Linked DNA regions of Macaca fascicularis. The protein of the gene in region 1 interacts with the protein of each later gene in a biochemical or structural test. Links are inferred from orthologs where the notes say so. Each region holds a gene or a part of one and is shown in the gene's direction. Other genes may lie near its edges.

Region 1 (4,447 bases):
AGCCTGCAGAACCATAAGCTAAAAAATGTTTTGATAAATAACCCAGCCTCTGGTATTCCTTTACAGCAATGCAAAACAGACCAAGACAGTGGGCCTGTCATGCATCAACAAGGGGCGCTGTAGGGGAGGCAGAATTCTACCTCCCTTATCTTAGGGTCCAGGCTGGGCCCAAGAATTAGACTGACATTAGAGAGATGAGCAGGAGAAAAACATACAGTTATTTAATACAAATTTAATGTGACACAGGAGCCCTCATAAGGAAATGAAGATGCAAAGATGCAGTTAGGGTCACTTATATACAGAGGTGGACAAACACTAGTAAGTTGTGAGATTTGATAAGGCCACGGGGCTTGGGTGAGGATAGTCAATGGGGTGAAGAAATGACTAGGTCAAAATGCTTACACACTAGGTTGAACAAAGAGTAGTAACTGTGGCAACAACTAGGAAGATAAGGGTTAGTTTAATAAAGTTTGTTTGTATAGATTTCTCTTGGCTTCTGTCTTAGTCTGTTTTGTGTTGTTAAAGGAATACCTGAGACTGGATGATTTATTGGAAAAAAAAAAAAAAGGTATTGGCTTATGGTTTCCCAGGCTGTACAAGAAGCACGGTGGCTGGGTGCAGTGGCTCACACCTGTAATCCCAGCTACTCGGGAGGCTGAGGCAGGAGAGTTGCTTGAACTTCCCGGGAGGCGGACGTTGCAGTGGGCTGAGATCACACCACTGCACTCCAGCCTGGGCAACAGGGTGAGACTCAGGTCAAAAAAACAAAAAAAGCACGGTGGCCCAGCATGGTGGCTCAAGCCTGTAATCCTAGCACTTTGGGAGGCCAAAGTCGGGGGATCAGTTGAACTCAGGAATTCAAGACCAGCTTGGTCAACATAATGACAGCCCATCTCTCCAAAAAATTTAAAAATTAGCTGGATGTGGTCCCAGCTACTTGGGAGGCTGAGGTAGGAGGGGCCTGGGCAACAGAGCAAGACTGAAAAAAGAAGGAGAGGAGGGGAGGGGAGGGAAGAAGATAAAAAGAAAGGAAAGGAAGGAAGGAAGAAAGGGAGCGAAGAAGGGAGGGAGGGAGAGAGAAAGGAAGGGAGGGAGGGAGAATGGAAGGAAGCAAGTATAGGGCCCACCTCTGCTTCTGGTGAGGGCCTCTGGCTGCTTCTGCTTATGGTGGAAGGTGAAGGGGAACCCATGTGTGTGCAGAGGTCACAGGACTGCACAAGAGAGGAAGCCAGAAAGAGAGGGGAGGGGAGTGCCAGGCTCTTTTCAACAACCAGCTCTTCAGGGAACCAACAGAGTGAGAACTCACCCTAAAGGAGGGCAGGACTCTATTCAGAGGGTGACACCTCCAGGACCCACACACCTCCCACTGAGCCCCGGCTCCAACTTTAGGGATCAAATTTCAGCTTCAGAGTTGGAGGAGATTTGGAAGCTTCCACCTTCTGGTCCTTGATGATAAGAACGTTCCCTTCCTTTTACTATAAGAACATCTTTCATAGGGGAATTCTATTTCTTGCCTTTAAGAAACAACAAGAAACTCAGAATGATCTTCCTACACCTGCCTCTATTTTTTTTTTTTTTTAAGTGCCTTTATCTCAAAAGAGTTAATATGCCAGAAAGGCATATCTTTACCTTCTTCAGCATCCTAAGGCTCATCTGAGCCATACAGCAAAGGGAGTTCTTTGCAGGTCATAAAAAGTGGAAGATTCCTTTAACTCTGGTTGGATCCCAGAGCTGTATCACTGTGTAAAAGTGGAATGCCGGCTGGGCGCGGTGGCTCACGCCTGTAATCCCAGCATTTTGGGAGGCTGAGGCAGGTGGATCACGAGGTCAGGAGATCGAGATCATCCTGGCTAACATGGTGAAACCCTGTCTCTACTAAAAATACAAAACAAAATTAGCCGGGTGTGGTGGTGGGCGCCTGTAGTCCCAGCTATTTGGGAGGCTGAGGCAGGAGAATTGCCTGAACCCTGGAGGCGGAGCTTGCAGTGAGCCGGGATTGCGCCACTGCACTCCAGCCTGGGTAACAGAGCGAGACTCCGTCTCAAAAAAAAAAAAAAAAAGTGGAATGCCAGCTGGGCCTGGTGGCTCATGCCTGTAATCCCAGCACTTTGGGAGGCCGAGGCAGGTGGATCACCTGAGGTCAGGAGTTTGAGACCAGCCTGGCCAATATGGTGAAAACCCATCTCTTTGTGGTGGATACCTGTAATCCCTGTAATCCCAGTTACTTGGTAGGCTGAGGCAGAAGAATCGCTTGAACCTGGGAGGTAGAGGTTGCAGTGAGCAGAGATCGCGCCATTGCACTCCAGCCTGGGCAACAAGAGTTAAACTCCATCTCAAAAAATTTTTTAAAAATTAATTTTTAAAAAAAGTGGAATGCCACATGCTGGCTTTCGGAAGGCTCTTCCCACCCAAGTCATGAGGAAGGGAGAAGAGGATTGCTGAGGAGACACGAGGAAGCTTGTGCTGGAGAGAGATGATCTCCACCGCCGTGGCCTACCCGCATCAACCCTTCACAATGCTGGTGCTAGCTCTGGTGGCCACGACCAACAAGCACTAATATAAGGGAGAGGCGGCCGAGTGGCGTGCCCTGTGGACCAATCAGAGAGTAGGGGGCCATCACGCCACCTGAGGCCAGCCAATGAAAACGCGGCAAGCTCTATAAAAGCGGGCAATCAGCTGAGGTCTGGTCAGAGGACACGGCAGAGACAACAGTTTCAAATTCATGGCCCGAACCAAGCAGACTGCGCGCAAGTCGACGGGTGGCAAGGCGCCACGCAAGCAGCTGGCCACTAAGGTGGCTCGCAAGAGCGCACCCGCCACTGGCGGCGTGAAGAAGCCGCACCGCTACCGACCTGGCACAGTGGCGCTTCGCGAGATCCGCCGCTACCAGAAGTCCACTGAGCTGCTAATCCGCAAGCTGCCCTTCCAGCGGCTGGTGCGCGAGATCGCTCAGGACTTTAAGACCGACCTGCGCTTCCAGAGCTCGGCCGTGATGGCGCTGCAGGAGGCGTGCGAGTCTTACCTGGTTGGGCTGTTCGAGGACACCAACCTGTGTGCCATCCACGCCAAACGGGTCACCATCATGCCCAAGGACATCCAGCTGGCACGCCGTATCCGTGGGGAGCGGGCCTAGGAGGGCCATCTCGCCACCTGAGAGGTTGCGCAACGTTCACCCCAAAGGCTCTTTTAAGAGCCACCCACCTGGTCGGAAGAGTTGCTGTAGCAAGCCAGGCTCTTGGGTTTTGGGGGTTCCTTCCGCTGGCCGGTGCTGGCTTACCTAATTCTGATTAGGGTGGGAGGCTGGCGAATCCTGTGTTCACCCTGTCCAGTTAGGAGGCCAGCTACTCATGCGCGTTACCTCCCAGCCTGTCTCCAGTTACAAGTCCAGCTAGTCGTGTGTGGTGCTAACTTGGTCTATCCCTTTAGATAAGAATCATGGTTGGTCTGTTTGGGGACGGGGTGTTGAGGGTAGCGTAACTGGCCTATCTCCAGTTAGGTAAGCAACCCCAGCTAGTTGTGTCAACTCAGCCTATCTACAGTTAGGTTGGAAGGCTGGCTGGTCTTGTGTGTTCTCAGCTCAGCCTCTTTCAAACTGTTACAAGTCCTGCGTGTGTGTGTGTGTGTGTGTACACACAGCTTCTTTCCAGTGAGGTTACCAGTCCAGCTAGTCTCCTACCTAGACAGCCTGTTAAGGCCAGCAAGTAGTATGTGTTATCTTGGCCTATTTTCAGTTAGAAGTCCAGCTACTTCACCAGCGTGGCAGCTCAGGTCTGTAATCCCAGCACTTTGGGAGGCCAAGGCGGGTGGATCACCTGAGGTCAGGAGTTCCAGACCTGCCTGGCCAACATGGTGAAACCCCATCTCTACTAAAAAGACAAAAATTAGCCAGGTGTGGTGGCACATGCCCGTAATCCCAGCTACTTGGGAGGCTGAGGCAGGAGAACTGCTTGAACCCAGGAGACAGACGTTGCAGTGAGCCAAGATCATGCCACTGCACTCCAGCATGGGCAACAGAGCGAGACTCAGTCTCAAAACCAAAAAAAAAAAAAAAAAAAACAAAGTCCAGCTACTTGTGTGTGTTAACTCAGCCTACCTCCTGTTAATTTAGAAAGCTGGCTAGTTGTATATCTTGTTAACTTGGGCTATCTCCCATTAGGTTAGAAGGCTGGCTAGGGGTGTGTGTGTGTGTATGTGCGCACGTGCACGTGTGCCCATGTGCACACACATATGTAGCTGTGATGTTGGCCCATCTCCAGTTAGAAGTCCACGTCATTGTATGTGTTAACATACCCAATCTCCCATTCAGTTAAAAGGCTGGCTAGTCATGTATGTTGTTAATTCACCCTATCTTCTGTTAGGGTAGATGACTAGCTAGTTGCGTGTGAGAAGCGCAGCCAGGCATGTGCATTGTTAATTCAGCCTAAGTGAAATCAATACTGGGAAACCC
Region 2 (3,647 bases), on another chromosome or scaffold:
CTGTTGTTTTAACAAACACTTATTGAGCACCACTTATGAACCAATCCCTGTACTAGACATTGGAGACATAAAATTACTAAGATACAATCCCTGCCCATAAGGTGTGTTCAAGAGTGCCAGAATGTCAGCAAAAACAAACTGATGGTGTTTGTTTCTTCTAAAATAAATGTTCTCAAAGCAAGTATTAGAAGTTACCATTAATTCAAATAATGAACAAATAATGAACTTCAGAATTGCCTTAGGGTGACAATTTCTCCAAGCATTCAAGGGCAGATGTCTCTATCTGTGTCACATTATATATTAAATGTGTTGGCATGCGCTGAAAGCAGGTGCTAAATCTTTCAGACTGACTCTTCAACACTAGTACTATAATATTTTTTGTATGGTACAGGGAGTAAATGTAAAAGGAGTAAGAGGAGAGATGGTTGTAGGCTATGGATTCTGGGGTAGGATAACTTCACAGAAAAGATAAGATTTGAGTTGAGCTATGAAGTATGGTTGTATAAAGGTATAGAGTATTCCGGGTTAGAGAATCACATAAACTAAGCTGTCCAGGTGAGATTAAGCATAATAAAAGTACCAGTAAGGTGTTCAGCTCCCTATGCAGCTAGTTCATTCCAAGGGTGTCTGAGGAAAATGTTCAACACAGTGAAATCAGGTTATGGAGGGACTTAAAAACTAGACAAAAGAATTAAAACATGTAGTAGAAAACATTGCATACTTCTAAGTAGGGGGACAATATGATTAAAGTGGTATTTTAAGAAAATTGTACTGACAGTGATGTGCACAAGACATTGAAGTGGGCAGAACTTGAGACTATACTGAGACAGGGAAGAATAGAGAGAATAGAGAGAATAGGAAGAATAGAGAGTAAGAATAGAGAGAAAGGAAAAAAATCTGAAATCATGGTTAAAAAAAAAAAAAAAAGGTGCCCGGGGATGGGGAGGGGGACAGGGTTAGAAACAGTTCCAGGTTTTGGTTTGAGGCTGCAAAGCATATGGAGGAATTTAAGATGATTATATTTTTTAGACTGAGAGAGTAATAATAGCTTTAATAGGAATAGAAGAGTTGAAATGCCTGTTTACGTTCAGTAAGAAGAGTATTCGTTTTATTTGTTTTCTCTTTTTTATACATCATTAGAAGTATACATTAGAAGTAACCCATGCTTATAGAAAAAAAAAATCAAAGACTGCAGAAGTATGTAGAGTTAAAAGTCAGTCTCCTGCTTCCACCACAGCCCTCCCCTCTACTGCAGCTTCCATCCCCTTCAACTGTTAACCATTGGCTGAATATCCTTCTAGACGTTTCTGTATGCATTACCACACATGCGTCCAATTCTTTTTTTTTTTTTTTTTTTTTTTTTTTTGAGACGGAGTCTCTCGCTCTGTAGCCCAGGCTGGAGTGCAGTGGCCGGATCTCAGCTCACTGCAAGCTCCGCCTCCCGGGTTCACGCCATTCTCCGGCCTCAGCCTCCAGAGTAGCTGGGACTACAGGCGCCCGCCACCTCGCCCGGCTAGTTTTTTGTATTTCTTTAGTAGAGACGGGGTTTCACCGTGTTCGCCAGGATGGTCTCGATCTCCTGACCTTGTGATCCGCCCGTCTCGGCCTCCCAAAGTGCTGGGATTACAGGCTTGAGCCACCGCGCCCGGCCTAACATGCGTCCAATTCTAGCAAGATTTGGATTCTTGTTCATTTTACAGGGTGATTTAATTTCAGACATACTGAGTTTGAAGTGATCAAATTTCAAGATTTCAGTTAAAAAGTCAGGATTTCAGTTAAATCCTTTAGGCTATTGAAAATCGGAAACTGGAATTTTCATAGACATTTTTAAAGATGTAGAGACCTTAAGCTCTGCTAAGGATAGGCATAAGAAAAACTTGCTTTTGTAAAGAAAAAAACTCACTATATCTAACTTTTTATCTTTTTATCTCTGTTTTATGTTGTGTTTTCTAATTACATTTGAAATTTTATAGGTAAATTACCTTTATGACTGGGCATGGTGGTGGTGCACTGGTAGTCCCAGCTACTCGGAAGGCTAAGGTGGGAGGACGGCTTGAGCCTGGGAAGTTAAGGTTGTAGTGAGCCATGATTGCCCTACTGCACTCCAGCCTGGGCAGCAGAGTGAGACCCTGTCTCAAAAAACAAACAAAAACCAAACTTTTATGATCTGAGCCTTCTTTGTAAATATTCTTAGATTTTAAAAATTCACTTAATGGTATAATTCATTCAGTAGGTATTTATTGAGTGCCAGCTATTGTTATTGAGTTCCAGCCACTGTTTAAAATTCCGCAGATGCATCAGGGAACAACAGAGGAAATGTAACAAACATTGATTTTGTCAGCACAGCACACTACTTATTTGATGATTTAAAAAAAAAAGGCCAGGCACATTGGCTCATTCCTGTTATCCCACCACTTTGCGAGGCAGAAGCAGGAGGATTGCTTGAGGCCAGGAGTTCAAAACCAGCCTGAGCAACATAGCAAGAACTCATCTCTACAAAAAAAAAAATAATAATAATAATAATAATAACTAGCAAGGCATGGTGGCATGTGCTTATAGTCCCAGCTACTCGGGAGACTGAGAGGGGAAGATTGCTTGAGCCTAGGAGTTTGAGGCAGCAAGGAGCTGTGATCATACTACGGCACTCCAGCCTGGGCAACAAGCAAGATGCCATCTCCTTTTTTTTTTTCCCCCCTGAAACGGAATCTTGCTCTGTTGCCCAGGCTAGAGTGTAGTGCCGTGATCTCGGCTCACTGCAACCTCCGCCTACCAGGTTCGAGCAGTTCTCCTGCCTCAGCCCCCTGAGTAGCTGGGATTACAGGCGTGCGCCACCATGCCCGGCTAATTTTTTTATTTTTAGTAGAGACAGTTTCACCATGTTGGCCAGGCTGGTCTCGAACTCCTGACCTTGTGATCTGCCCGCCTCAGCCTCTCAGTGCTGGGATTACAGGTGTGAGCCACCGCGCCCAGCCAAGATGCCATCTAAAAAAAAAAGACAAAACACTATTATTATTATTTCTGGGGCATTTTCTGTGTGTCAGGCACTGTTGCAGATGCTTTTGATCATCTGTAAACTACTTTGAAATTTGTTCTATAATATATAAGCTGATCATGAGTGTGATTTTTCTGTGGTGTTCTGGCTAGTTGTCTGATCATATTTAAGCTTGACCTTAATAATCAGCTTAAACATGATTCTGTGATGTTCTATTTAAAATATTAAATTCTTTCCAATAACTAGGTTAAAATGTTTGATTCTGAGCTGCATATTTACTTACTACCTTTTTTAATATTTAAAAATATATTCACGGGATTTCTTCAAATAATTTGATTTGCTTTTGGCTTTGTTTCAGATGGCCGAACAGACCCAGTTTTGGATGATGTTGGTGAAGCTTTCCAGCTGATGGGGGTTAGTCTACATGAACTAGAAGACTATATTCACAACATTGAACCTGTCACCTTCCCACACCAAATTCCGTCATTTCCCGTTAGCAAGAACAATGTACTTCAGTTTCCTCAACCTGGAAGTAAAGATGCAGAGGAAAGAAAAGAATACATTCCTGATTACCTGCCACCCATTGTGTCTTCTCAAGAAGGTTTGTGAGTGTTTCTTCTTCATTTGTTAGGGACTATTTTAATGGATTTTTGAT
Region 3 (3,571 bases), on another chromosome or scaffold:
CCCAGGTTTGTCTAACTCCTGGCCTCAAGCAGTCCTCCCACCTGGGCCTCCCAAAGTGTTGGGACTACAGGCGTGAGCCACTGTACCCAGCCCATAGTGATTTCTGAGAAATATTGTGTGTGGCTATAGACCGATTTAAATTGACAAATAAAAGTCATTTGCCTTTGAAGGAAGCCAGTTTCTTAGCTTTCTATTTATACTAAAAAGCCTCCCCATTCCCCAAGAAATTTCAGCTTTTCCATGGACGTCTGAGCTCTTGTCCTCTTACGATTATCCTTAGTATGATTATACTTATTTTGAGTGAAAGTGTGACTTGCTGTGCCCTCTGGTTTCAGTGAGGACAACACATGGGAGCCAGAAGAAAACCTGGATTGCCCCGACCTCATTGCTGAGTTTCTGCAGTCACAGAAAACAGCACATGAGACAGATAAATCAGAGGGAGGCAAGCGCAAAGCTGATTCTGATTCTGAAGATAAGGGAGAGGAGAGCAAACCAAAGAAGAAGAAAGAAGAGGTAAGGATAGAAGTAAGAATTTTTACTGGCCCACAATTCAAACCACTGTCAAAGTAGTTTTGTTTTACTTCTTCCCAGATATTAGCAGCCATCTCTTCTTAGTTCTGACATCTTAGGTAGGCTAATGCCTACAAAGTGAGAGTGTACTCTCATGAAGCCACATGATCTCTTACTTTTTTGTTTGTTTGTTTGTTTGAGACGGAGTCTCGCTCTGTCGCCCAGGCTGGAGTGCAGTGGCCGGATCTCAGCTCACTGCAAGCTCCACCTCCTGGGTTTACGCCATTCTCCTGCCTCAGCCTCCCGAGTAGCTGGGACTACAGGCGCCCGCCACCTCGCCCAGCTAGTTTTTTTGTACTTTTTAGTAGAGACGGGGTTTCACCGTGTTCGCCAGGATGGTCTCGATCTCCTGACCTCATGATCCGCCTGTCTCGGCCTCCCAAAGTGCTGGGATTACAGGCTTGAGCCACTGCGCCCAGCCAGTCTCTTACTTTTTATCCATGGTACAGGAGCAGTAAATGGGATACTTGCTGGGGACAGATAAAAGGGCAAGTGAATTCATTCTTGTAAAAAACGGTTTTCAATGTTTAATCATTAAAGGTGTGAGGTAGCTATTTTGACTTAATCAGTACGTACCTTAAAGTAAGTTGTTTTTTGAGAGTGAAGAGATAGGTGTAAACATTGATTTTGCTTGGGCTGTATGTCCCTTTTCACATATGGGAAAATCTCATGCGCTTCAGACATTGATGAATAATCACTCCAAAGAATTCTAACAGCTCTCTTACTTTGAGCCAAGGTATTGGTGAAATATTGGCAAAAAAGTTTGTGTTTGGGCTGGGCACAGTGGCTCACACCTATAATCCCAGCCCCTTGGGAGGCTGAGGCGGGCGAATCACAAGGTCAGGAGATTAAGACCATCCTGACTAAATGGTGAATCCCCGTCTCTACTAAAAATACAAAAAATTAGCCAGGTGTGGTGGCATGCGCCTGTGGTCCCAGCTCCTCAGGAGGCTGAGGCAGGAGAATTACTTGAACCCAGGAGGCAGAGGCTGCAGTGAGCTGAGATCGCACCACTGCACTCCATCCTGGGCAACAGAGATTCCGTCTCAAAAAAAAAAGAGAAGAGTTTATGATTACATTAATCAGAGACACAGGAATAGTTCCAAGTCTAGATAATAGTCCCATATAGATAAAATTGTTCTACCAATCTTGTTTTTACAGTCAGAAAAGCCACGAGGCTTTGCTCGAGGTTTGGAGCCGGAGCGGATTATTGGAGCTACAGACTCCAGTGGAGAGCTCATGTTCCTGATGAAATGGTGAGTCGGCCAGTGGCTTTGTGTGGTTGTTTTTTTTCTTCTCCCATTGGTTTCATGCCAGAGGAAAAGAGCTGGACCTTCGAAATTCCAATCACCCAAGTGTGAAATTAAGATGGCATAGTCCTTCGATAGTGACCCTCGGCCTGACTGCCAACCTGGACTCATGAGTTACAGGTAGGAGCCCTTAGGAATCTTAGGTCTTTGCCCATATTTTTAGGAGGTGGGAGACAATCTAGAGTGGAAAGAGTGTGGGAAGGAATTACATTTCATTACGGTAAATAAAAGGGGAAAAAATGAAATGTGATTGGACCACCCTCTCTTTCTACCACCTCCTTAATAAAGATGAGGCTGGCCCCAGAATCAGAAACTCTGCTAAATTCTCAGGGTTAGGAAAGATTTTGTAGTTCTTCCCTTTGTCCTTAATTGTTGGATCCTTTTCAATTTGTGCAGATTCTACAATTACAGGATCAGCCAGCAGGGGTCAGCAAGGCTCCTTAACTGCTATTAAGCATAGAGCAAGCCTGCTTTTTTCCATTATGAGTATAAATTCCAGTGATAGTAACACTCCATGAAACAGCCTAATGAAGATAGTTATCCCAGCAATCTCTGTAATTTTCCTACTCTGTCAAAAGAAGGCCATTCTTCCTATTTCTTGCTCATTCTCCCCACAAAGTGGATAGCAATCATTGTATTTAAAGTTTAGGAAGGAATAATTCTAAGCCATTGCCAATGAAGGCAGCATTCTACAAACTTTGTCCTTTAAAATACACACACACACATACAATGTCTGTGGAGCTTTGTCCTTTTGTCAGTCCAGAACTTACTCTGAAACTTGTGTCTGTACTAATATTTTACAGTATGGCTGGAGGGGCCTAACTTTAGCACCACTGAAAGCCAGAGTCACAACTACCTACCTTATTCTCTTCCTATGTATTCCTTAGGCGGTTACTGAAGCTGCCCCTCTTTTAGCTGATTTATTGTTAACCTATAGGAGAAAAGTTCATTTTTAAGGTGCTGCTTAAGGGGTGGGAGAAGTTACACCATGAGTTACTCAGTCTAGCTAGAATATACTTTTTCTGCATGTGACCAGTGTGAGTTACAGTAGTATCTCCATATTGCTTAAGATTTGCACTCCTTTGGTTGACTTACTACTATCTTTTTTTTTTTTTTGAGACAGAGTCTCGCTCTTTCGCCCAGGCTGGAGTGCAGTGGAGCGATCACAGCTCACTGCAACCTCCGCCCCCCGAGTTCAACGATTCTCCTGCCTCAGCCTCTCAAGTAGCTGGGATTATAGGCACGCACTACTACGCCTGGCTGATTTTTGTATTATTAGTAGAGATGGGGTTTCACCGTGTTGGCCAGGCTGGTCTCAAACTCCTGACTTCAGGTGAACCACTGCACCTGGCCGACCCACTGCTGTCTACAGGTTAAAACTGGATTTGACTATAAGACCAAGTACATTTTAAAAAGTTATTTTACTGGAGAATAGAGATTTCTGTATATTTCCAAAAGTAGTAAATATTTCTAGGGAGTGAAATGACTGAATTTAACTCAATGCGTGTTGTTCAGCTGTTAGCAAATGGCAGCATGCTTCAGATTCCCATTTCCCTCCCATTCTCTTGGGTCCATTGTTCAAAAACATAGGTTATCAGCTTACTCTTCTGCTCCATGGGACTGTGTGGCTCTGGTTTCCTGTTGTTGAGGTTTTGGAGATTTGGGGTGGTGCTTTGTCAGAGATCTCATCA

The links.
Region 2: the proteins of H3-4 (region 1) and TAF3 form a complex in vitro, tested with the Homo sapiens proteins (2 studies listed by BioGRID, with this or other methods). The link is inferred for Macaca fascicularis from reciprocal best matches to the Homo sapiens genes H3-4 and TAF3.
Region 3: the proteins of H3-4 (region 1) and CBX1 interact in a test that uses a peptide from one of them, tested with the Homo sapiens proteins (3 studies listed by BioGRID). The link is inferred for Macaca fascicularis from reciprocal best matches to the Homo sapiens genes H3-4 and CBX1.

What each region holds. Positions count from the first base shown.
Region 1 is NC_088375.1:86,334,879-86,339,325, reverse strand, and holds H3-4 (histone H3.1t), read left to right. Parts: upstream 1-1,570; 5' UTR 1,571-2,722; coding exon 2,723-3,133; 3' UTR 3,134-4,113; downstream 4,114-4,447. UniProt on the Homo sapiens protein: Core component of nucleosome. Nucleosomes wrap and compact DNA into chromatin, limiting DNA accessibility to the cellular machineries which require DNA as a template.
Region 2 is NC_088383.1:8,691,153-8,694,799, forward strand, and holds part of TAF3 (transcription initiation factor TFIID subunit 3), read left to right. Parts: intron 1-3,350; coding exon 3,351-3,593; intron 3,594-3,647. UniProt on the Homo sapiens protein: The TFIID basal transcription factor complex plays a major role in the initiation of RNA polymerase II (Pol II)-dependent transcription.
Region 3 is NC_088390.1:58,656,691-58,660,261, forward strand, and holds part of CBX1 (chromobox protein homolog 1), read left to right. Parts: intron 1-335; coding exon 336-513; intron 514-1,071; exon of another isoform or gene 1,072-1,731; coding exon 1,732-1,826; exon of another isoform or gene 1,827-2,058; intron 2,059-2,740; exon of another isoform or gene 2,741-2,813; intron 2,814-3,571. UniProt on the Homo sapiens protein: Component of heterochromatin. Recognizes and binds histone H3 tails methylated at 'Lys-9', leading to epigenetic repression. Interaction with lamin B receptor (LBR) can contribute to the association of the heterochromatin with the inner nuclear membrane.